Saccharomyces cerevisiae S288C: one gene and its partner. The protein of the gene in region 1 purifies or fractionates together with the protein of each later gene. This does not show direct contact. Each region holds a gene or a part of one and is shown on either strand. Other genes may lie near its edges. The genes, in order: POP8 and RMP1.

Evidence for each region.
Region 2: the proteins of POP8 (region 1) and RMP1 purify together in Saccharomyces cerevisiae (affinity purification with mass spectrometry; 2 studies listed by BioGRID). This does not show direct contact.

The regions. Positions count from the first base shown.
Region 1 is NC_001134.8:185,497-197,467, forward strand, and holds POP8 (ribonuclease P), read right to left. Parts: upstream 979-11,971; coding exon 932-978; intron 857-931; coding exon 502-856; downstream 1-501. Other genes in the region: DNA-(apurinic or apyrimidinic site) lyase APN2, read left to right, coding at 1-419; PEP1 (type I sorting receptor), read right to left, coding at 1,348-6,087; mitogen-activated serine/threonine-protein kinase FUS3, read left to right, coding at 6,955-8,016; ACH1 (acetyl-CoA hydrolase), read left to right, coding at 8,626-10,206. UniProt on the Saccharomyces cerevisiae protein: Component of ribonuclease P, a protein complex that generates mature tRNA molecules by cleaving their 5'-ends. Also a component of RNase MRP, which cleaves pre-rRNA sequences.
Region 2 is NC_001144.5:421,074-433,400, forward strand, and holds RMP1 (Rmp1p), read left to right. Parts: upstream 1-11,094; coding exon 11,095-11,700; downstream 11,701-12,327. Other genes in the region: NHA1 (Nha1p), read left to right, coding at 1-321; SLS1 (Sls1p), read right to left, coding at 469-2,400; RRN5 (Rrn5p), read left to right, coding at 2,610-3,701; PUT1 (proline dehydrogenase), read left to right, coding at 4,113-5,543; DPH6 (diphthine--ammonia ligase), read left to right, coding at 6,256-8,313; ACF2 (endo-1,3(4)-beta-glucanase), read right to left, coding at 8,604-10,943; SPE4 (spermine synthase), read right to left, coding at 11,750-12,327. UniProt on the Saccharomyces cerevisiae protein: Functions as part of ribonuclease MRP (RNase MRP), which is involved in rRNA processing in mitochondria.

The DNA of each region.
Region 1 (11,971 bases):
CAAGGTACAAATATAATTTAAGAAACCATAATGTTTTAGAGATGTTTGCCAAAAAGGATACGAATAAAGAATCTAATAAACAAAAATATTGTGTATCAAAAGTCATGAATACCAAAAAAAACAGCAACATCAAAAACAAATCGCTCGACTCATTTTTCCAGAAGGTAAATGGAGAAAAAGATGACAGGATTAAAGAATCCTCTGAAATTCCACAGCAAGCTAAAAAAAGAATCTCCACGCCAAAGTTGAATTTCAAGGATGTCTTTGGAAAGCCTCCCCTGTGCAGGCATGGGGAGGAATCCATGCTGAAAACATCGAAAACTTCGGCCAATCCAGGTAGAAAGTTCTGGATTTGCAAGAGATCTCGGGGTGATTCAAATAATACAGAATCATCTTGTGGGTTTTTTCAGTGGGTTTAAATATGAAAACGTCAGCTGATATTTTGGGAGAATAAAACACTTTCTTCTATGCCCAAGTTTTTTTAAATAATAAACTGATATTCTATATACATTTACAGTCTTGTTCTTCTTCTTCCATTACTTTTTTCAGCCATAGGCGGTCATCGTCAGTAACCTCCAGAAGTCTCAAACTGGAAGATTCTTGTAGAATTGACACTGTTAATGGTGAACCGACGAGTTCATCAGTAGATATGTATGTACTGATGGACGAAGAAAATGTATCTTTATCCGCATGATTTACTCTGATGTAAGCCAGCTTATCGTCAACATGCAGGAATGAATATTCTACACCTTCACCAAAAATACCATAACTACGTTTCAATGCGTTATTTAACCATTGCCTCCATGTCATTTGATCAATAGCATGTGCATCGTCCACATCTTGATCGAATGAAGTACTATAAATATTAAAGTACGTTAGTAGTTTATTTCTCTTCGGTAGTTGAGACTCAAAAAGTCAAAAATATACATACATTGATAACTTGAAATATTGCCATTCTCTAAAAGTCTTTTTCCCCATCACAACTGGCCATTTATCAAACTATTTATCTGCCTTTTCTTATTCTGATTATCCTATAAAGCTGAACAGTAAAGCTTGTAAAATTACGCGATGACTTATGTATTGAAGTTATGACGTTCTCGATGATCTTCAGTCAAACAACCACTTTCCCGTAACATATGATATATCCCACCCGCTTCCTTGTACGCATTATTACGGTTCTGCTTTGAAGATGGAGATTCAGTACTTGCAGTTATTTGAATTGCACCAGTACTGATCATGCCAAGTTTCTTTGGCTTGTGAAAGAACTTGATATTCTGTCTAAAGGATCTGCTCGTTTTTGTTTATGAAAAGTATATGGAATTATCTACTCTATGTAAAGTAATCTCTCTACTGGTTTTCGTTAGATGGCGCTGTAGAATCAGGCCTGTCGATGTTTTCCTCATTTCCTTCTGGTAATGTATCTGGAACATCGGTGGTCGTAGGTTGATCTGTATATGATGTATGCTCTTCTTCAAGTGTTGGAACATCATCTTCTTCGATTTCAAAATTACTACCCTGATCCATGAAACTGGATAAGTCATTGGCGTCTTCATCGTGGCCAGCAAGCAGGTCATCTGCTTCATCCAAAAATTGATCATGGATCAGGGATGAGTAGCTTGGACCTGTTCTGTTTCCAAACCTTCCTCTAATTTTGGAGATAGCATGCGCTATATTAGTTTTTGTGTGCTGTAAAAGAGACCCGATATTTGAGAAAACGTAAAATCCTGATTTCACAATGTTATTGACAACTCTGTCAGTATTATTGTTTTCTATTAAACCATCGTCACCTAGCCTAATTTCTCCAAACCTTGCAAATCCCCCATTTCTTCTGATACCTCTGTCATATACAAACCATGCGGCAAAGAAAATTATTAAAAGAATTGAAATGAAAATAAATGCAAAGGGACCGGCACTTACTGAGTACTTTTCCTTGAATTCTTTTTCTTTTCCTGGGCAAGCATGTGGTGATGAGGGAGCATCCAATTTCAGGCCACCCTCACAGGTTGATAGAGGGATCTTTCTGTAGCCTGACGATTCAAAATATTCGATTAAATCTGGCTCTTTTTTACAAACGTCTGCAGCATTTGCTGGGCTTAGTCCTTTGACTAATTTACAAGTACCATCGTTAGCTTTGTAAAAGTTGTAATCACACTCGAAATCTTGTCTTGTACAAGAACAGTTTTTGATATTTCTTGAAAATTCAGAAAGTGGAATATTCCCAATAAAACAATTTTCATCGGTTTTACGTAAAAACTCGGTTTGGTGACCAAATAGGCAATTGCTTTTGGAACCCAGAGGAGAGTATTTATAATCTGCGCTTTCCTTACCAGTGATGTCGAAATCACATTGTCTTTCGAAGATGTTTCTAAAATCAATTGTGTACGTTCTAAATGAGCTGCCTCCAATATCTGCTGCCTCTCCAAACAGCAAAAATCTCAAAGCAGAATCCCTGGGAACAGTGGTTATATCCTTTACTAAAACCTTATCAGCGCAGAATTTATAATCTTTCCATGTTTTACCAAAATCGGTAGAATAGGAAATAGAATCAGTTTCTGAGTTTTCAGGAACTAAAACTAAAATCCCACCGTGGTCACCGTATTCCCATTGGTGAGGAGTCTTCTTAACTTCAGCCCACGTTTCGCCACCATCGGTGGTGAAGAAGGTGGAACATTCTTTATATGGTAAAAGGTTAGGACCAACGTTGCCAACGCCGAACATCATTCCTAATGCAGAACCGGAAGAATATGTATCTCTAATATCCTTACGTTCAGTATAGCCATGTAAGTGCAATGAACACTCATCCAGTGATTTGGAGCTGCAAGAAAACTTTTTTCCTTCTGAATCCCTCTTCGGAGGTTTCAAAAAGTTCCAATCTGAACCTTCATTAAAGGTGATCTTCGTCTTCAATTGTTTGTCTTCTTTATTCTCGGCGACCTTGTCACTATTTGAAACGATGTTGGTGAGAATAATGCCTTCGAGACCTTGAATTTTTTCAAAGTCAACATAGCCGAATGTGTTTCTATTAACGGCATGCTCCAACGTGACAAAAGAAGTACCATTTGAGTTGGATTTCAAAAGATTGCCAAAATCGCGTCCTGGTACTAAGTTTGTTGCTAAATGTAAGAATATCGATCCTTTCTCAGACTCTAATATAGTGAATGCCTCTTGCTTCCCAACATCTTCATCATATGGGAATTTTGCCTCGGCAAACTCAGTACCATCGATAGTTACGTATGCTCTCAATTCGTTGTTCTCATGAGGAACAGCAACGATGATATAGCCACCAGTGGATAAGTAGCCGATAATATTTTCAAAGACGGTATTTTTATCATCCTGGAAAAAATCAGTAGAAGAAACTAAGCTTCTTGTCTGCGAAGACTTTTCCTTCACTTGACACATAACCATATCCTCATTTGACGGATATTTGAAAAGTGAGCCCGCAAACTCACAATGAATTGCATTATCAAGCATTTCCGTAAACGTTTCGCCCCCATCATTGGTCAGGTATGCTACCGCATGACATTCCGGACTTAAGATTGACTCACAATTCTTACCACCATAATAGATAAATGTATCCTGTGCCTTAGCGTTAAAGTCTAATGGCATACCTAACTGCCTAGCCTCGGGCAATTTAGCAGTCATAAAAGAGTATCCCCTATCATGGGTAGAGAAAATGCTACCTTTGGAACCAAACAGATAAGCTGAAGAATTGTAGTATGGATTAAACACAACTTCAATAATTGTTTCACCATTACTGTCGAACCTTTTTATTGTTTGTCCACCATCATGAGATATATAAGCTTCTCCTCTTGAATTGATCATGAGGAGGGATTCGTCGGTGACTGTGTCAAAGTATTGATAGAATTGAATCTTGAAATCAAATTTGTTTTCTGTAACCACTATTTCTTTATCATTCGTTCCCTTCTTTGGAACTCCCTCACACGAAATATCCACTGATTTGACTGTCATTGGTTTTTTACATTTATCACCTTTAACTAGTTGCAATGGTTTTACAGGCACAGTTTTTTTCTTTGTCTTATCACATACGTCAGAGAGAACGATTAGGTTGTAGTCTGGTACGCATTTCCCGGTCGCGTCCCTAACAAATTCAAACGCGCATTCGTAATCAGCCTCGGTACACTTGTCACAAGCAGTCTCAAATAATTGTAAGTCTTCAAAAACTTTCTTCACCAAGCACTGAGCGTCCTGTTTTCTTCTTCTGATCTTGTACTTGACTCCATTGACACACTTCCCCTCAGCTAAATTCCAATCCTCGAAATCATTTTCTTCGCATGTCTTATCATTAAAGGCTGTTGAAAAATCAATTGCATAGATGAAATTCGTTGTACCATCCATATGCGCCAAAGTAAACCCATTTAGAATAAATTTAGCTCCAGATCCGTCGGGCGTTGTATTCATTACTTCATTTGGGTAGATAGTAGTTTCTAGCTGATATTCGGTCCAAGTTTTACCTTGGTCTAAAGAGTAATAAAATTCGGATTGAGGATCGTCGTCTTCATCCGCATTATACGGTATAGCCACAATAACATTTCCGTAATCACCAACAGCGTATAAACAAGGAAAATCAAAGGCGAGTTTCCATGTTAAGCCACCATCCCTAGAAATAAAGGTTCTTTGATCTCCCCAGTCGAAGACACTACCATCGCCAACAATACCTGTTGTCATTAGAATTCCGGCGGTTGGAGTGGAACCCTCCCGTGTGTAAAACATATTTTGAAGCGAACAATTCTCAAAATCAGTAATATCACAGTCGAATGAGTCTGCGTTATCTGGATCAACAACTTTTAACATTGTCCATGTGAGGCCATTATCAACAGATATTTTGGTTACCCCCTTACTCTTTACTCCTTTGGCTTTTCCTTTACGGTTACGACGCCTAGATAGAGGGTAAAGTGAGGCAATCATCGTTCCTTTCAAGTAAGTAGGTTGATAAAAATTAATATAACCAAACACCTCATTTGCGGTCCATGGGATGGGGGAAAATTTTAACCCTTGTGAGTCGGAAATTAAAATTTCAGACACGATGCCCTTATCCTCCTCTTGATCACTTCTTTCCCTACTCATGGGCAAGATAATTCTTCCCATAGCGTCCTCATATATTTCTCCTTGCATAGAATGCCTTAACTGAGTAGGCATGTAAGCCATTTTAAAGTTTGACAGATCATTTGATACCCACACATCCATGGAAGACATATCATTATATCTGTCGCCCTGGGTTAAGACAACCATGTGAGATTTCAATATCCTGTAACCATTGACGACCTTATCTTTAAATTGGTCAAATTCTTTTAGTGATTTGCCCCAGTCCGTAGTTAGGACCAATTTACTTTCGGTGTAAGGAGAACTAAACTCATCCATAATAAGCTGCATATTTTGAAAAAGACAGATTATTGAGGTATCACTACTTTCAAGGTCAGAATCTTTGCTGGTCTTGGCAAAGCCACAATCAGAAATGCTGATAGGACTATTTTCGTTCCTTTCTAGAGAAGACTTGATCTCAGAAAAGGATTTTCCACCATCATTACTTGCAAAAACCTTGTCTGTGCAACGTGTAATATTAAATATTTCAAATTGTCCCTCTTCGTCCCCCGAATTCTCTTCATTGTCATTGTTTACTTCTGTTTTCTCACAATAGTTGCACTTTGCAAGAAAATAGTTCTTATTCAAGGGATGGGTTTCTATATAGCATTCACGAGGTGAAATACTTTCTCCGGAGTCAGGTAGCGTTATACGCTCCCATGACTTACCTTGATCATTGGTTATATAAAGGTACGACCCATTCATTGCCGTTGCAACGGCTCTGTCATGTCTATTGAAGGGGTCGATGTATATCCAAGTGATTTCGCCTTCAATGCCTTCAACTTTTTCCCATGTTTCACCATCGTCAAAGCTTATAGTAACGGAGGTGTCTTGTTTTCTAATTAAAGTGTTGGAATCATCAAAGCTTAATATATCAAATGAATCTTGCGCGATAGTCTTTGTCACTTTGGGGGTGAATTCTTCGGCATTAGTTAAAGGAATGAGAAGTAAGGCCCAAAGAGAATAGACAAAATGAAGTAATATCATAACGTGTGATGACTACTGGACACTTCAGGGCTTTTCCAGATATACAGAGCTTTATAATACAATCTAAGGGCAAAATAAAAAAGGAAAAAGAGTACGGTAGTTGAGAAAAAAACCGGAAAGGAATTGCTTTAAAGATCTTAGTAGAATGAAATAGTACCACCTACTCGCCTCCTTTTTTTGTGCTTCTTGAGAGGTCTTTTGAGCTGTTGCATCATGCTGTTATTTAGAGGTTATTTTTTGACCTTGGTTTTTCCTTCTTTTCGCCGTACTCAGCCCGAGAAAAAAGCAGCGACTGCACTAAACTAGAGGAAAGAAGGCTTAAAACATCACGCGATCCATATAAAGACCCGAGTAGTTGGAGAGATTGACTACTTGACGTTCAAAAGAACATACATAAGGATAAATTCGTTCGGACTTTTTAACTTACACACATCTTTTGGTGTTCATTCAAGGGGCGGTAGTGCTTGTAGTCCGCACAGGCGGATACTTTTTAGTTTGGGAAGAGTTAACTGGAGAGGGCAGTTTACTTTCACATACTCTTTTATCTTTCTGAAGTAAAATGTGATGTACCTACAAGCAATGCATAAGCTCTTGAGTTTTAGATCTGTTTCACCCTGGAACTCAAAATTCTTTTACTCGAAATTTTTACTTTTTTTTTTTTTGTTTCTGCATTCTCTCAGATTTTAGATGATGCGGTTTTTTACAGGGCATTGAAACAATTGCAGAAAAGCAACATACTAATATATCATAACTTTTTACTCTTGCCTCTCAGAAACTATATATACGTTGTAATCATTTTCTTTCTTCTAATAGCTAGTTCGTTTGAACTACAAGGAAATAAGGCAGAGAAAAAGAAAGGAAAATAATATGCCAAAGAGAATTGTATACAATATATCCAGTGACTTCCAGTTGAAGTCGTTACTGGGAGAGGGTGCATACGGTGTGGTATGTTCTGCAACGCATAAGCCCACGGGAGAAATCGTGGCAATAAAAAAGATCGAACCATTCGATAAGCCTTTGTTCGCATTACGTACGCTGCGTGAAATAAAGATCCTGAAGCACTTCAAGCACGAAAATATCATAACAATCTTCAACATTCAACGCCCTGACTCGTTCGAAAACTTCAATGAGGTCTACATAATTCAAGAGCTAATGCAGACAGATTTACACCGTGTAATCTCCACCCAGATGCTGAGTGACGATCATATACAATATTTTATATACCAAACCTTGAGAGCAGTGAAAGTGCTGCATGGTTCGAACGTCATCCATCGTGATTTAAAGCCCTCCAACCTTCTCATAAACTCCAACTGTGACTTGAAAGTATGTGATTTCGGTTTAGCAAGAATCATTGACGAGTCAGCCGCGGACAATTCAGAGCCCACAGGTCAGCAAAGCGGCATGACCGAGTATGTGGCCACACGTTGGTACAGGGCGCCAGAGGTGATGTTAACCTCTGCCAAATACTCAAGGGCCATGGACGTGTGGTCCTGCGGATGTATTCTCGCTGAACTTTTCTTAAGACGGCCAATCTTCCCTGGCAGAGATTATCGCCATCAACTACTACTGATATTCGGTATCATCGGTACACCTCACTCAGATAATGATTTGCGGTGTATAGAGTCACCCAGGGCTAGAGAGTACATAAAGTCGCTTCCCATGTACCCTGCCGCGCCACTGGAGAAGATGTTCCCTCGAGTCAACCCGAAAGGCATAGATCTTTTACAGCGTATGCTTGTTTTTGACCCTGCGAAGAGGATTACTGCTAAGGAGGCACTGGAGCATCCGTATTTGCAAACATACCACGATCCAAACGACGAACCTGAAGGCGAACCCATCCCACCCAGCTTCTTCGAGTTTGATCACTACAAGGAGGCACTAACGACGAAAGACCTCAAGAAACTCATTTGGAACGAAATATTTAGTTAGCCATCATTATCATTAAAATATCAACCCGAAGAACAATGTATACATATACATATACGTACACATATACATATGTACATATGACATACGTATTAGCCGCTGAGGACGCGGACGTATAAAAGGACAATACTTATATGGAGCTAAGGGGAGCAGTTACGCAACTCCGTGATCGCGCGCCACGGGCCGTCGGCGGCTGTTAATTGAAGAAAAAAAAAATGAAGAACCACAAGGGGTGATCCATATAGGTGACTAGCATCATCCCCTGCGACGCGCGGCCCGCCGGGCCAAAGGCGGGCAATGCGCGCTGCTGATTGGCCTCGAGGACAACGCCCTCAACCACATCCGCAACAGCCAATCCCATCGGAGCGTCAAACTACCAAAGTAGTGATTGTATGGATGACCACTGTATTGTGGACGGTAAGCGCTTGCTGGAGCAAATGTGTAATCAAGTTGCTGTGTATATATAGACGTTAGATGTGTTCTACCCCTTCTTTTGTCTTGTGCCCACCGGGCTTACATTAGCACACAAAGCAGCAAGAGACCGTCTTACTAGACAATAGCGGCAAAACAAACAACACATTTCTTTTTTTCTTTTTCACATATTGCACTAAAATGACAATTTCTAATTTGTTAAAGCAGAGAGTTAGGTATGCTCCCTATCTGAAAAAAGTTAAGGAAGCTCACGAGCTTATTCCATTGTTCAAGAATGGTCAGTACCTTGGGTGGTCCGGTTTTACAGGAGTGGGTACTCCCAAGGCAGTGCCGGAGGCACTGATAGATCACGTGGAGAAGAACAATTTACAAGGGAAGTTGAGATTCAACCTTTTTGTTGGAGCTTCTGCTGGTCCAGAGGAAAACCGTTGGGCTGAACACGACATGATCATTAAGAGAGCCCCTCATCAAGTAGGGAAACCCATTGCAAAGGCAATTAACCAGGGTAGAATTGAGTTCTTTGATAAACATCTGTCCATGTTCCCTCAGGATCTGACATACGGGTTCTACACCAGGGAAAGAAAAGACAACAAAATCCTTGATTATACTATAATCGAGGCAACGGCCATTAAAGAGGACGGGTCTATCGTCCCAGGTCCCTCTGTCGGTGGTTCTCCAGAATTCATTACAGTCAGTGATAAAGTGATTATTGAGGTTAACACGGCTACGCCTTCGTTCGAGGGTATTCACGATATAGACATGCCCGTGAACCCACCTTTCAGGAAACCATACCCATATCTGAAAGTGGACGACAAGTGTGGTGTTGACTCCATCCCGGTTGATCCTGAAAAGGTTGTTGCGATTGTGGAGTCCACCATGAGGGACCAGGTCCCACCAAATACGCCCTCTGACGACATGTCCAGGGCTATTGCAGGTCATTTGGTCGAGTTTTTCAGAAACGAGGTAAAACATGGTAGGCTACCTGAAAACCTGCTGCCTTTACAAAGTGGTATAGGTAACATTGCTAACGCTGTCATTGAAGGGCTTGCTGGCGCCCAATTCAAGCACTTGACTGTATGGACGGAAGTGCTGCAGGACTCGTTCTTGGATCTTTTCGAGAACGGATCTTTGGACTACGCCACTGCTACTTCCGTGAGATTGACTGAAAAGGGTTTCGACAGAGCCTTTGCAAACTGGGAAAATTTCAAACACAGATTGTGTTTGAGATCTCAAGTTGTCTCGAACAATCCGGAAATGATCCGTAGATTGGGTGTCATCGCCATGAATACCCCAGTAGAAGTTGACATTTACGCGCACGCCAATTCTACAAATGTGAATGGTTCCCGTATGTTGAACGGGTTGGGTGGATCTGCTGATTTCTTGAGAAATGCAAAGTTGTCCATCATGCATGCCCCCTCTGCAAGACCAACTAAAGTAGACCCTACCGGTATCTCTACCATTGTTCCTATGGCCTCTCATGTAGATCAAACTGAGCATGACCTGGACATCTTGGTCACTGACCAAGGTTTGGCGGATCTAAGAGGTCTATCGCCTAAGGAAAGAGCCCGTGAAATCATCAACAAGTGTGCTCATCCCGATTATCAAGCTTTGTTGACCGATTACTTGGACAGAGCAGAGCATTACGCTAAAAAGCACAATTGCTTGCATGAACCACACATGCTAAAGAATGCTTTCAAGTTCCACACCAACTTAGCTGAAAAGGGTACAATGAAGGTCGACAGCTGGGAACCAGTTGACTAGTGTTTGTGCGCAAACCGAGAGATGAGTATTTAACAAAAAAAAGAAAGGAAATGATATGATTATGATTTTATGTTTATAAAGCTTTTATCCAATGCGTTGTTTTTTCTTGCATATTTATACTTTTTGCGCTCATGGAGGGAGTTAATCAATACGCATGACGTCTAGTTAATTCACAGGTAGTACTGTATATTTATATGTTTACACAATAATTATGTATTAAGTAGTGATTAGTAAAAAAAACTAAGAGGTTGAAAGTCATCAACCCTTATATTAATTTCAACGAATTTCGCTGATGACGTCAGGGTAGTTCTCTTGCTTAGGTCAATGTAAAAATGCCAGGGTAATACAAAACCAAGCTCTGAACCGCCCAACTTATCTGTAATGATGCATGTATACCTTACAATGATTTTTTTTCTCCTATTATGGAATTAATATTGGAATCCATGTTTGTGAACAGCCTTCTCCGCAATTTAGCTTCAAGCTAATAAGTGGTTATTGTTTGCGCGCGCTTGAAGGCAAGGATCATCGCTTTTTTCTTCTCACCATTGAATTTAAGGGACGCCGATTAGCATAATACACTTATCAACAACAACCGGATGTGTGTTATCTATCAGTGGTGGAAGGATTGGTAAGCAATTTGGTTTGATCCAGAGGACTAAGAAAAAAAAAACGGCTCATCAAAGAAATTAGTTCAATTGAGTGGTTTAATAGACAAAGTTTGGAAAGATAACAGAAGTAGAAAAAGTAAAAATCTACACATGACACTCAACACATGTGGACAGCAAGAGGGCAGATAGATAAGTCGACACTGCAAATTGTTGTGTATGTAATAGCCCTGGGTGCAGGTTGGCCAAAACTGTTCAACAGCTCGCCCATTTGAAGGTTCAACAGGCCGCCAGAAATGTTCAACAGATTGTGCCGCTATGATACGTAACTTATATATAGCAGCGTGTATAATATTAGGACCATAATAAAATGAATGGCATGAAAATAACGACAACAATCTCAACAGCAAACAAATTCACAATACAGTCATGGGCAGCATAAACTTCATATTTGCTTTACATCTTTTAGTTGTTTTATTTTTCATCATCGCCATCCCTAGCTACGCCATGTATCCATTTTTACCATTTATCCTTACATCGCTCGTATTTGCTCGTTCTGATAACTCTAATAATCGTTATTGACAAGTTGGTTCAAGGTCAAAAATTTTGTTATTACAATCACTGAGCAATACGCTGTTTTTCCATAGTATGGAGGCATTTTTTTTTCTGTGAATGTACGTATATTTTACTGTATACTTCATTAATATTTGGGAAATAGACATATTTTAAGATTATTTTTTAGATCCTGTTTACGTAAAAGACAATAATATAGGTGTGTAAATTATACCCTAAGTTCTTCTCAAGGATGTAAGACTTCCACAAGAGAACCGGCAATTTTATATGATAATACTATTTTTTCTTTGGCTTTACATGTAGTCGTTTATTATCCTATTGAATCAGCAATTATCACATCTCAGCTTTCATTACTTTTGATGACTGTTTCTCAACTCCATGTCATTCTTACACTGTGTATGATACTAATCGATAGATGATCGTTGATTATTCCTTCAACAGATTCTGTCTAAAAAATGGTAAAACTGTTGCTACTAATCAATATCATATAATTGATCCTTATTCAACAATATCTACAACGAAAAAGGAGATTAAAAAAATGCATGCTAAGTAAATGAAGGTTTTCATCTGTCCCTGATGTTTTTCTT
Region 2 (12,327 bases), on another chromosome or scaffold:
CCGAGAGGAGTTCAAGATTCCTTAGATCTGGAAGATGAACCTTCATCTGAGGAGGATTTAGGTGATAGTTATAACATGGACGATAGTGAAGATTACGACGATAATGCATATGAATCAGAAACTGAATTCGAAAGACAAAGAAGGTTAAATGCGTTAGGTGAGATGACGGCACCAGCGGATCAAGATGACGAAGAGTTGCCGCCCTTACCTGTGGAGGCACAAACAGGAAACGATGGTCCAGGTACAGCGGAAGGAAAAAAAAAGCAAAAGAGTGCTGCTGTTAAGTCGGCGCTATCAAAAACGCTTGGTCTCAATAAGTAATTTATTAATACACAAAGATATATTATTTTAGTATATATATAAACGAAATGCCTTTTTTATTTACATGTGTCGGAAATAGAGTAGATGCGGTAAAGAGGGGGAGGGGGGGGGGGTATGCGGTTTTGTCATTACTCTTTTCCGTTAAACTTAAAAGCTTAAAACATCATTGATAAAGGTTTTTAGTGAGGTTTCACTGGGGTTCACATTGATGAAATCTAATTGTCTGTAGGAGCCATTGTTCAAAAATCCGCGGCTGATATCTGAATATTGAATGATGTATTTATCATCTTGGGCAGTGTTCGTAGGAAATCGTAAATTCAAGACACGATGGGTCAAAACATCAGTCAATTGGTATTGCTGTATTAGGTTATCTGGTAAAGAAATGTTGATTTTTTTCATAAGATTCTGATATTTGTTTAACTTCCAGTGTGACTTGAGAAGAAATTCTTGGAGGCCTTTTTGTTCAGATAACCAAGCATCCGGATTGGTCTGGTCGAAATCAGGTAAAAGATCTTGAATGTAATCTGACGTGATCTTATAGTCTGTCTGGCATTGTGGAGTTCTTAAGATAACAGAATTTTCTTGTAATTTCAAAAGAGGCCTCATTGAGGTGGTAACAATGTTATCGAATTCGTCAATCTCGAACCAAATCTGCAAAAAAGGGGACGAGGAGGAGCCAGAGGTGGGCGGCACAGGAGTGAAGTTCAGCTGTATGAAGGATTGATGCGCATTTGTTATTAGATGTTGATCAAGAGGCACAGGCACAGGTACGGCTGATGATGATGATTCTTTGTACATTGGTAGATTCAGTAATTTTGAAATAAAACTCTTATGTATTAGAGGTTGGAAAATACTAGAAAAAGACGCGGACTGTAAGGAGTGACCTAGCGTTATTGATAAAGATTGGGAAATAGAGTCGGAAGGGGAGAGAGATGGTATATTTTTAGACAAGGAAGATTCGAATTGGCTGACCTGCGCATCTGTCAATTCTGGTGTGGCGTTTTCAGTGGGAGTCATCAGATCTGTGCAATTTTTAGGGACAACTGACTGTAATCTTGCCCAATCTTGTGACTTGTTTAGCCAGTCCAAGTTCTCTAGAGTATTGTTGAACGGATAGAGTTCTGTCTTGAGTGCTGGTGAGGCTATTGTGTGGTGGTGTTGAGTTGTGTTAGGATTAGAAGCGACGGCATTTAATAAAAAGACTTTGGCCATGGATATTTTCTTGGTGCTTAGGGCTGAAATCTTGTACATTTGCAAGTCCGGGAGGTATTCAAAAAAAGTGTGAGTTTCCTTCTGAATAAGGTTGATGACGTCTTTTGATGGCATGAGGGAATACATACGCACATTTTCATGAGTGATGTTTGACCATATTTTGTTTAAGGATATTTCTGCGTATTTGAGCAAGCTAGGCGAACCCTTGACGGTCAATTCGTTATCCTGAATGGAGATGATGAATGTCAGCCCGAGCTTATTGAAGTTGGTGAGTATTTTACCATTTTGAGTGATGAGTAAAAGGAAAATTTCTCTAGGAGAATCGAACTGGAAAGTCAATGATGTGGACTTGATGCCTGTGGGAGTGGTGGGTGTTGAAATTGGTTGGCAATTCCAGATTTTTTCAATTATATATTGGGACAGCTTGCTTTTCTTCCAGTGCGTCAGATGTGAAGAGGAGTCTGGCTGATGTGTGGAGATGAACTCGCGCAGTTGGTAGCGATTGTAGCTTGATGTAAGCGATTGGAGAAGGGCATTGTATTCCAGGGAGGGCAGACTGGCGCTTGTCGGTTTCTTCAATCGGATGGAGTTCAATGCGGAATCTAGTGAATTCTGCTTTTCGAAGACAAGGAGTTTCGAGCCGAAATCGAGGTTGTTATCTCCAGTTTCCTTATGGCTACGTTTCTTAGACGGCCTGTGTCTAGGCTGCTTCTGATCATTTTTCACTAGCCCAGATTGGGTAGGGTTCAAGACGACGAATTTCAGATTTTGCGGCAGTTTCTTCTTCCCATGAAGGGGCGAGCTTGGGCCTGAGCTTGAATAAAGACGGTAAGTAAGACGGGCGAGCTTTTTGTTGAATTTCCACATATGCTTACTCTATATTTTCTCCAGTGCCTTCAAGCTCCGTATATATTATGTACTAGTTTTATTACATTAAAGATACATAACTTTTTTTTTTTTTTTCAGTTCACTGAAATAAGAAAAGGCGGGCGAGGTGAAAAACAAAAAAAAAAGTATAGAGAAACAGAAGTGGAAGAAGAGCTAGGAAAGCACAGCGCATACGACGGTCACCTAGGATGGAGCACCAACAATTGCGGAAGTACGTCGAATTGTACAATAAGGAGGTCGAGGAATTCTACAATGGTGCCGCGTCAGGCCGCCCAGCTGAGTTCCATCCTTCCAAAGTACATGTAAAGAGCATCCATGAAAAGGCGGGTACCGCCAATGCTGGTGTAGAAATCTCTAGCGTTGGTGTAGACTGGGACAGCGAGGAGAAGAATACCTTTTTCTGGTGCCTTTCACGCTATAGTATCCACCGTGTAGACGAGTGGCGCTCATTGTTGCCTCGGAAGAGCGCCATGGAGATTCTAGGTTATTACAGGTTGTTAAGGAGAGCGAGTGCGAGCGCGAGATCGCGTAAGGCGGGTGACGACGGAGCGCCCATTGCGTACGAAATGAGCGCTGAGTGGGTTGCCCTGGAGACAAAACTGAGCGAGACAGTGATGGCCATCACGGAAGGCGCAGCCGAGGTTGCCGATGAGGAAGGACACTGCGAGGGCCTTATCGATTATGAAAGCTGGAAACGCAGGTGGGTGGCCATCTACTCGCACAGCCGTATCGCGGAGATAAGACCCTTGCCCCGCCACGCGCTGCCGCTATCGCGCAGCGCGACGCAGACTTTGGAGCGCTGCGTAAGTCGCTACACACGTACATTGCTGTGGTGCACGGCCCTTGCGGGTATGGCTTCCCGCAGCGTCAGCGCCAGGGCGGCCGAATCTCGAGGACACAAGTCGCTACCGACGGTGGTAACTCGCCGGCAAGTTGAGCGTGCACTATGCACAGAAGCCCGATCACGTGACCTACACGTGCTTCCAAGGCGCATTGTTTTGACACTGCGCAAATGGGAACTAGACTATCCGCGAGAGGGCAAACTGTTCCGCACCAAGGAGATGGCACATCTGTTTCTACAAAGCCAGTTGTCCAGACGGGATGCGCCCCCAGTCCATCAAGACGAAAATCAAGAAAATCAAGAAAATCAAGAAAATCAAGAACAAGATAACACTGCAAGTGAAGGTGAAAGCGAGGCAGAAAGGGATGAAATCGACGAAGCGGACTTGTTCCGATCAGCATTACATGAAAATCAGTTGCTAAAATGGTTATCCAAATGAGACACAATGCGAAAAATCGCGCAGGGACATAATTTTTGTTTTCATTATTCTTTCGCTTATTCCCTCCGTTAGCTCCACCGCTTTTTTGATTGGAATTTCCTTTCGGCAATGGCTTTCCGGTTACCACGCCTCGGGTTTCGCATCCCGAAAAGCATATCTACACAAGAAAAATGAATGATAAACAATTGATGAGTGGCGCTATTTCCCTTATCATCTCATTATTGTACTTAGTATCGTCTATTATCAGGAGAAATCGCATGAACTAAGCCCATTTTCTCACCCTTCTGCCTTCTTATATAAAGCTTGCTGGGAACCGAACACAAACTCCACAAGTCCGTAGCAGCTCTTCTCTTTTGTCTTTTATATATCATAAACATCGCTACATAGTAATAACACTAACGCACGCTAGAAATGATAGCTTCCAAAAGCTCCTTATTAGTTACTAAATCGCGCATACCCTCTCTATGCTTTCCTTTGATAAAGAGGTCCTATGTGTCAAAGACTCCGACACACTCTAACACGGCTGCTAATCTGATGGTTGAAACTCCGGCCGCCAATGCCAACGGCAATAGTGTGATGGCACCTCCTAACTCAATCAATTTTCTACAGACACTTCCCAAGAAGGAACTATTCCAACTGGGATTCATCGGTATTGCGACCTTGAACAGCTTCTTCCTGAACACGATCATTAAGTTGTTCCCTTACATCCCCATCCCAGTAATAAAATTCTTCGTCTCTTCTTTATACTGTGGCGGTGAGAACTTTAAAGAGGTCATCGAATGCGGCAAACGTCTGCAGAAGAGAGGTATATCGAACATGATGCTTTCATTAACTATTGAAAATTCCGAAGGTACAAAGAGTTTGTCCAGTACTCCAGTAGACCAAATTGTCAAGGAAACAATCAGCTCTGTCCACAACATCCTACTGCCCAATATTATTGGCCAGCTGGAATCTAAGCCAATCAATGACATTGCTCCAGGTTATATCGCTCTAAAACCCTCTGCTTTGGTCGATAACCCTCACGAGGTTCTGTACAATTTCAGTAATCCCGCCTACAAGGCTCAAAGGGATCAGCTGATCGAGAACTGCTCTAAGATTACAAAAGAGATTTTTGAACTAAATCAATCTTTGTTAAAGAAGTACCCTGAAAGAAAGGCCCCATTTATGGTTTCCACTATTGACGCTGAGAAGTATGATTTGCAGGAGAATGGTGTTTACGAATTACAGAGAATCTTATTTCAAAAATTCAATCCCACTTCATCTAAACTGATATCATGTGTCGGTACTTGGCAGTTGTACCTAAGGGACTCTGGTGACCATATTTTGCACGAATTGAAGCTGGCCCAAGAAAACGGCTATAAGCTTGGGCTGAAACTGGTTCGTGGTGCTTATATTCATTCTGAAAAAAACCGTAACCAAATTATCTTTGGCGATAAAACGGGCACTGACGAAAATTACGATCGTATCATCACTCAAGTTGTCAATGATTTAATCATCAATGGCGAGGATTCTTATTTTGGTCACTTGGTTGTCGCCTCTCATAATTACCAATCCCAAATGCTCGTTACTAATTTGCTAAAATCTACCCAAGACAACTCTTATGCCAAATCGAACATTGTGTTGGGGCAATTACTAGGTATGGCAGATAATGTTACCTATGACCTAATTACCAACCATGGCGCTAAAAACATAATCAAGTATGTCCCATGGGGCCCACCATTGGAAACTAAAGATTATCTTTTGAGAAGATTGCAAGAAAACGGGGATGCTGTGAGATCTGATAATGGCTGGCCATTAATCAAGGCCATAGCAAAGTCGATTCCAAAAAGAGTAGGCCTATGAGAGGACTATAATATATACTCCAATTTCAAAGACAAACCAAAAAACCAAAAAAAAAAAAAAGTATGCATACATAATTCTGATGTTCTAGTTATACATATTATATATAAGTAATGATAATAACACTAATAGTAAAGTAAACGCACGGATATCAAGAGTTAATATACTTGAACCACTTAAATAACAATCTGTTGGTAAAGCTTTCTTCCTATTGATTATGGGTTCGAATAGTACCAGATGTTTTGCCAATCCTAAATCGGTAGGAAAGTGGCTTGTCGTCGTCAGGCTTATTATCAACTCTTATGCACAAGAAAGGTACTCATCTTCTATAAACTACATAAGACCTGAATCTAATCAAAGGGAGAAAGCGCAGAACATCAGATTTAAAGCGGTTTTGCTTGATACACTCAGCCTTGTCTCTTTGTAAGGATTTTGGGGTACCTATGAATAATACATCTAGTAGTGTTAGTAAACCAACGTATGGGATTTTGGGATACATAGTTTTCCAGTGTTTCTTATCCGTGATAGTTTAATGGTCAGAATGGGCGCTTGTCGCGTGCCAGATCGGGGTTCAATTCCCCGTCGCGGAGAATTTTTTTAAGCTTCTATTAAAGAAGCTTTTTTTCACTTATATCTGATGGATGATGAATAGCTAGTTCAAACGGAAATCTTTGATAAAGCTATATCAAAATTCAAAGCCCAATAAGTCAGTATCATGAAGTTTATAGCATTAATATCAGGTGGGAAGGACTCGTTCTACAATATTTTTCACTGCCTGAAGAACAACCATGAATTGATTGCCCTGGGAAATATATACCCAAAAGAATCAGAAGAGCAAGAATTAGACTCTTTCATGTTCCAAACAGTAGGACATGACTTAATAGACTATTATTCTAAATGTATTGGTGTTCCACTATTTAGACGCTCAATATTACGGAACACTTCTAACAACGTCGAGTTGAATTATACTGCTACTCAGGATGATGAAATTGAAGAACTATTTGAACTTCTAAGAACTGTCAAAGATAAAATTCCAGATTTAGAAGCTGTTAGTGTAGGTGCCATCTTATCGTCTTACCAGAGGACCAGAGTGGAAAATGTTTGTTCCAGATTGGGTCTAGTAGTGCTAAGCTATTTATGGCAAAGGGATCAAGCCGAACTAATGGGTGAAATGTGCCTTATGTCCAAGGATGTTAACAATGTTGAAAACGATACTAATTCAGGAAATAAATTTGACGCCAGGATAATCAAGGTGGCAGCAATTGGATTGAACGAGAAACATTTAGGAATGTCCTTGCCTATGATGCAACCGGTGTTACAGAAACTTAACCAACTTTATCAAGTTCATATCTGTGGAGAGGGTGGGGAGTTTGAGACAATGGTCTTGGATGCCCCTTTTTTCCAACATGGATACTTGGAATTAATTGATATTGTCAAATGTAGCGATGGTGAAGTTCACAATGCAAGGTTAAAGGTAAAATTTCAACCGCGTAATTTGAGCAAAAGTTTTTTACTCAACCAATTAGATCAATTACCTGTACCTTCGATTTTTGGTAATAATTGGCAAGATTTAACCCAAAATTTGCCAAAGCAACAAGCTAAAACAGGAGAACAAAGATTTGAAAATCACATGTCGAATGCTCTACCACAAACGACAATCAATAAAACCAATGATAAGTTGTACATCTCTAACCTACAATCACGTAAAAGTGAGACGGTCGAGAAGCAAAGTGAAGATATTTTTACTGAGCTAGCCGACATTCTGCATTCCAACCAGATTCCACGGAATCATATTTTATCTGCGTCATTATTAATTAGAGATATGTCTAATTTCGGAAAAATCAACAAAATATACAATGAATTTTTAGATTTGTCAAAATACGGACCTTTGCCACCATCAAGAGCATGCGTAGGTTCGAAGTGCTTGCCAGAAGATTGTCACGTACAGTTATCAGTTGTTGTTGATGTAAAAAATACAGGCAAAGAAAAAATCAACAAGAATAAGGGCGGACTACATGTTCAAGGCCGTTCATATTGGGCTCCATGTAATATCGGACCATATTCCCAAAGTACTTGGTTAAACGATGATGCAAACCAAGTCAGTTTTATCAGTGGGCAAATCGGACTAGTACCGCAGTCAATGGAAATATTAGGAACACCTCTCACTGACCAAATAGTTTTGGCATTACAACATTTTGATACTTTGTGTGAAACAATAGGAGCTCAAGAAAAGTTACTCATGACATGCTATATTTCAGACGAATCGGTTCTCGACTCTGTCATCAAAACATGGGCGTTTTATTGTTCAAATATGAATCATAGATCAGATCTATGGATGGACAAATCTGATGATGTTGAAAAATGCCTAGTTCTTGTAAAGATTTCTGAATTACCTAGAGGCGCTGTTGCAGAATTTGGTGGTGTTACTTGTAAGAGATTAATAGTGGACGATAATGATTCCGACAAGAAAGAAAGGGAAGAGAATGATGATGTTTCAACCGTATTCCAGAAATTGAATTTGAATATTGAAGGTTTTCATAACACTACAGTTAGTGCGTTTGGATATAATAGAAACTTTATTACGGGATTTGTAGATAGTAGAGAGGAGTTAGAACTTATCTTGGAAAAAACCCCAAAATCAGCCCAGATTACCCTCTATTATAATCCCAAAGAAATCATCACTTTCCACCATCACATTGGATACTATCCGGTGGAGAAACTTTTTGATTACCGTGGTAAAGAACACCGCTTTGGGTTGCATATTCGTTCCTAACTCCAAATGTAGGCCTTATATTTTATAAACTTAATAGATATACGCTGTCCACGCTCCTGGCGGTGTAAATGATAGACAGATCCCAAATATGTTAGCAAATCATAGGAACAACACCATATTGTGAACACGTAAAATTTAGAATACGCCGCACAATTAAGGTGTGTTCTGTAATAATTTGATTATTGATGATGGTTTAGGAACCAATATTCATATAAAAAAATGATCATTCTATAAAATACCTTATCGTAACACTTGTACCATGCTACTAACACTGTATATATTTCTGACCCCTAAGAAAAAGCACCTGAATAAGCTAAAGACCAAGTTAAGCTTTGCCCATTGTCTAGGAAATTTCTGTTGAAATCAGGTTGGCTGAAAAAGTCGTACGAAAATTTTGGATCAAGCAGAGCCATATTTAACATGATTATTCCTTTCCAACCGTCATTCACTTGATCAATTATCGGCTGCATTTTTTCTTCCCACTCCTCTTTGACAAAATTTGGTGTTCTGACCCATGAAGATGCTGATGTTATAGGAATGGCGTGAATCATATGAATGTATTGAGGCTCCATGCCAAAATACGTGGCGTGATCAATTTTATTTTCGAATAAAATACCACTAACTTTATTACCAATAAATTCTTTCGGTTGGACAGTATTATTGCTTTCGTATAGGAAGTAGCTCTGGAAAACATTTCTCATGATGCCGAGTTGTAAGTTCGCTATGTCAGTTAACTTAGAATTTCCAGTTACCAACCCCCACAATTTTATCGCATAGCAAGAATTGACATCTTCTGAAGTAGATTCTTCATCTTTACCGTCACCACTTGGAAATAGTCCTTTGGCCCATGAATGGCCATTAAACCAATCAAATGACCTAAATTGAGGGAAGTACGGATCATCGTTGTCAACACCAGAGTAATCTCTAATTAAGCACTCAACCCAATCTCTATTATTTTCTAACCAGGAGTTGTTAGTAACTCCACTTAAATCAGAATCGACTAAAGAGATAATGGCAGCCGTTATGACATGATAAGAGTAATGAAAATGATGATCATTATAATAAGAGTTACCAAAGTCTTGGCTAGAAGAGCCTGATGAAATTATGCCTTTCCAACTAACGTCGTAATTTAAAGGTAAGACTTGCTGATTGCTGATGAATCTCTCCATTGCAATAGTCAGTTTAGATAATAATTCTTTTGTTAAATTTTCATCATGAAGGATGTAATGTGTCACATAAAGAATCCACGCATACTTTGCAAGTATCTTACCAGAGAAATACATAGAATCTATGTTTGATTCTTGTTGAGGGTCACTCAATTGAACTTCTTGAACAGCAGCTTCCCGAATTTTAGATAGCTTTTCTTGACTGTAATCTGCCTTCTTATTCAAAGATAACGCGACAGGTTCAAAGCCCAATTCTTGAGGTACTTGAACCTGCATATCAAAACTGTTTGTGAGATAACCAGTCATTAAGCCTTTAACTGTGGAATCCAGGCTTGAGGCAATTTCACGTTCCTGCATTTCTGGTGTGAATGCCGCTTTATGATGTGGTAAAGCATACATTAGAGTAGTTCCAGACTGCGAGTAGCCTGCAACCGTATAGTTAAATCTGTAATTTGTGAAATGTTCATCAACAGTTTGCCCTGATAGGTCACAGTATACTGGATAACAGCCCGCTGCCATGTCAATACTGGGGACGGAGTCTGCAGATAATTGACAGATAAGACCATTGATTTTATGAGATGATATTATTGTATTGCTGTCGAGTAATGAAATTTGAAAATCTTGTGGAAAAGAGTAATCAGGTGAGGTCAAATAAAGTATCCAATTCCTATTATTCTCAAGTTGTATATTATATTTACCATATCTTTCATTCACGCTTATGCGCTCTAAGCTCCTGAAACCAACGGCGCTTCTTAATTCAAAACCCAAATCGTGGTAAATAGCCGTGACAAAGCCCATCCCCTGAACCAGCGGGAATTCTATAAACTGGGAACTACTCAAAGACATTAGTAAGCACATGGACATATGTTTCATATCCCGGAATTCAAGCTTGATATCATTTGAAGAGACAAATTCCCTGGCCTTGAATACAAATGATTTTATATTTGTGGGATTGAAGTAGAATCTGGGAGGATTTGTAGTTGTATCAAAAACCCTTTGAGACGCTAAAGTATGATTGGCGGCCAAACCAAACAATTCTGGATCACGAGAAAACCAAATTGAATAAGGATGTGTCCATATAGGTTGTGTATTATCGTCTAATAACATGTTTGTGTAGAACTTGTTTGTCTCCAATGGATCAACAGATTGATCATCAATATTCGGCTTTGGTACCGGGTGTTGAACTTTGTTGAAGACGGAAGGAGGAGCTTTTAAGTTAGAAAGGACAGGTGATTGAAAAATATTGTCACTATTCACCTGGCTGTCAGCTAAAGGGTTAGAACTGCTTGGTGTGCGCAGTGATTCACCTGCCACCCTATTTTCTCGAGGTTTACTGGAGTTCTCAGAAGAACAAACTGGTGGCTGAACATTTGCGCGAGGTGGTAAGGGAGGAGGTCCTCTATTGGTAGTACCGCCAGGTCTATTAGGAACAGGTGGAGGAATGGCTTGCCTACTGTAACACATCTTTTTACTTCTCGTATTTATTTATTTTTGTTTTTATGATACTAGCACTTTTCAGAAATTCATGAATTTTATTTATGGTTCCAAGAAAAAAACTTCAAAGAAATGAGTACTAGAATGATATATCCACAAAAAAAAAAAGAGCAGAAACAAAATGGATGAGATGGATAATGTGATACGATCTCTGGAGCAAGAATATCGGTTAATATTGCTCTTGAACCATAGGAACAAAAATCAACATAGAGCGGCTAGCTGGTATGGATCGTTCAATGAGATGAAAAGAAATTGTGGACAAATAATAACGCTTTTTAGCTCGAGAAGATTACAAGCCAAACGCCTTAAAGATGTTGAATGGGTCAAGTTGCACAGGCTATTACAGAGAGCACTTTTTAGACAGTTAAAGAGATGGTACTGGCAGTTCAATGGCGTAATTGCGCTGGGACAATTTGTAACGTTGGGTTGTACACTAGTAACATTGCTGGCAAATGTGAGGGCACTGTATATGAGATTATGGGAGATTAATGAAACTGAGTTTATAAGATGTGGATGCTTAATAAAGAACTTACCGAGAACAAAAGCAAAATCGGTTGTGAACGATGTCGAAGAACTTGGAGAAATTATAGATGAAGATATTGGCAACAACGTTCAAGAAAACGAACTAGTGATAACGTCTATACCAAAGCCTCTGACAGAGAACTGTAAGAAGAAAAAGAAAAGGAAAAAGAAGAACAAATCAGCCATTGATGGCATATTCGGATAAATATACAAGTAAATAGACTTTTTAAAATAATAATATCAATGCTAATAAATCATTCATTAATGACCTTGTCTGCCCAAGTAGGCAAAACAAACGCACTAGAATGTATTTGAGGATTATAGTACTTCAGCTTCCCTTGTTCTTGCTCAGATATCTTTCTTTGCGGAATGTTCAACGGTATATTGGCGTTATTACTGCAAACAATTAAACCTAATTGGCCAGATGTATAGGTTGGAACCATGGTATAGCAATATTCTGTATTAGGAAATACCTTTTTGGCTGTATTTTTCAAATCATGTAAGTATTTTAAATTTAACCAAAAATTTTCAGAGCTTTGCATAATAACAACGCCATTAGGATTTAAAGCATCTTTCAATAGTTCGAAATACCTCTCTTGAAAAAACGCTTCAGCTGGACCTTCAGGATCAGAACTATCTGTAATAATGACGTCAAATTTCTTATGGACGTCGGAAGCACCTATATCTTGTAAGAACTTGAAGCCATCGCAAAGTTTCAAGTCCAACCTTTCGTCATCGAAAGCACCATTACTCAATGTGGGCAAGAACTTACGGGATAATTCGATCACTGATGAGTCAATTTCTACCATAGTGATATCTTCTACACAGCTGT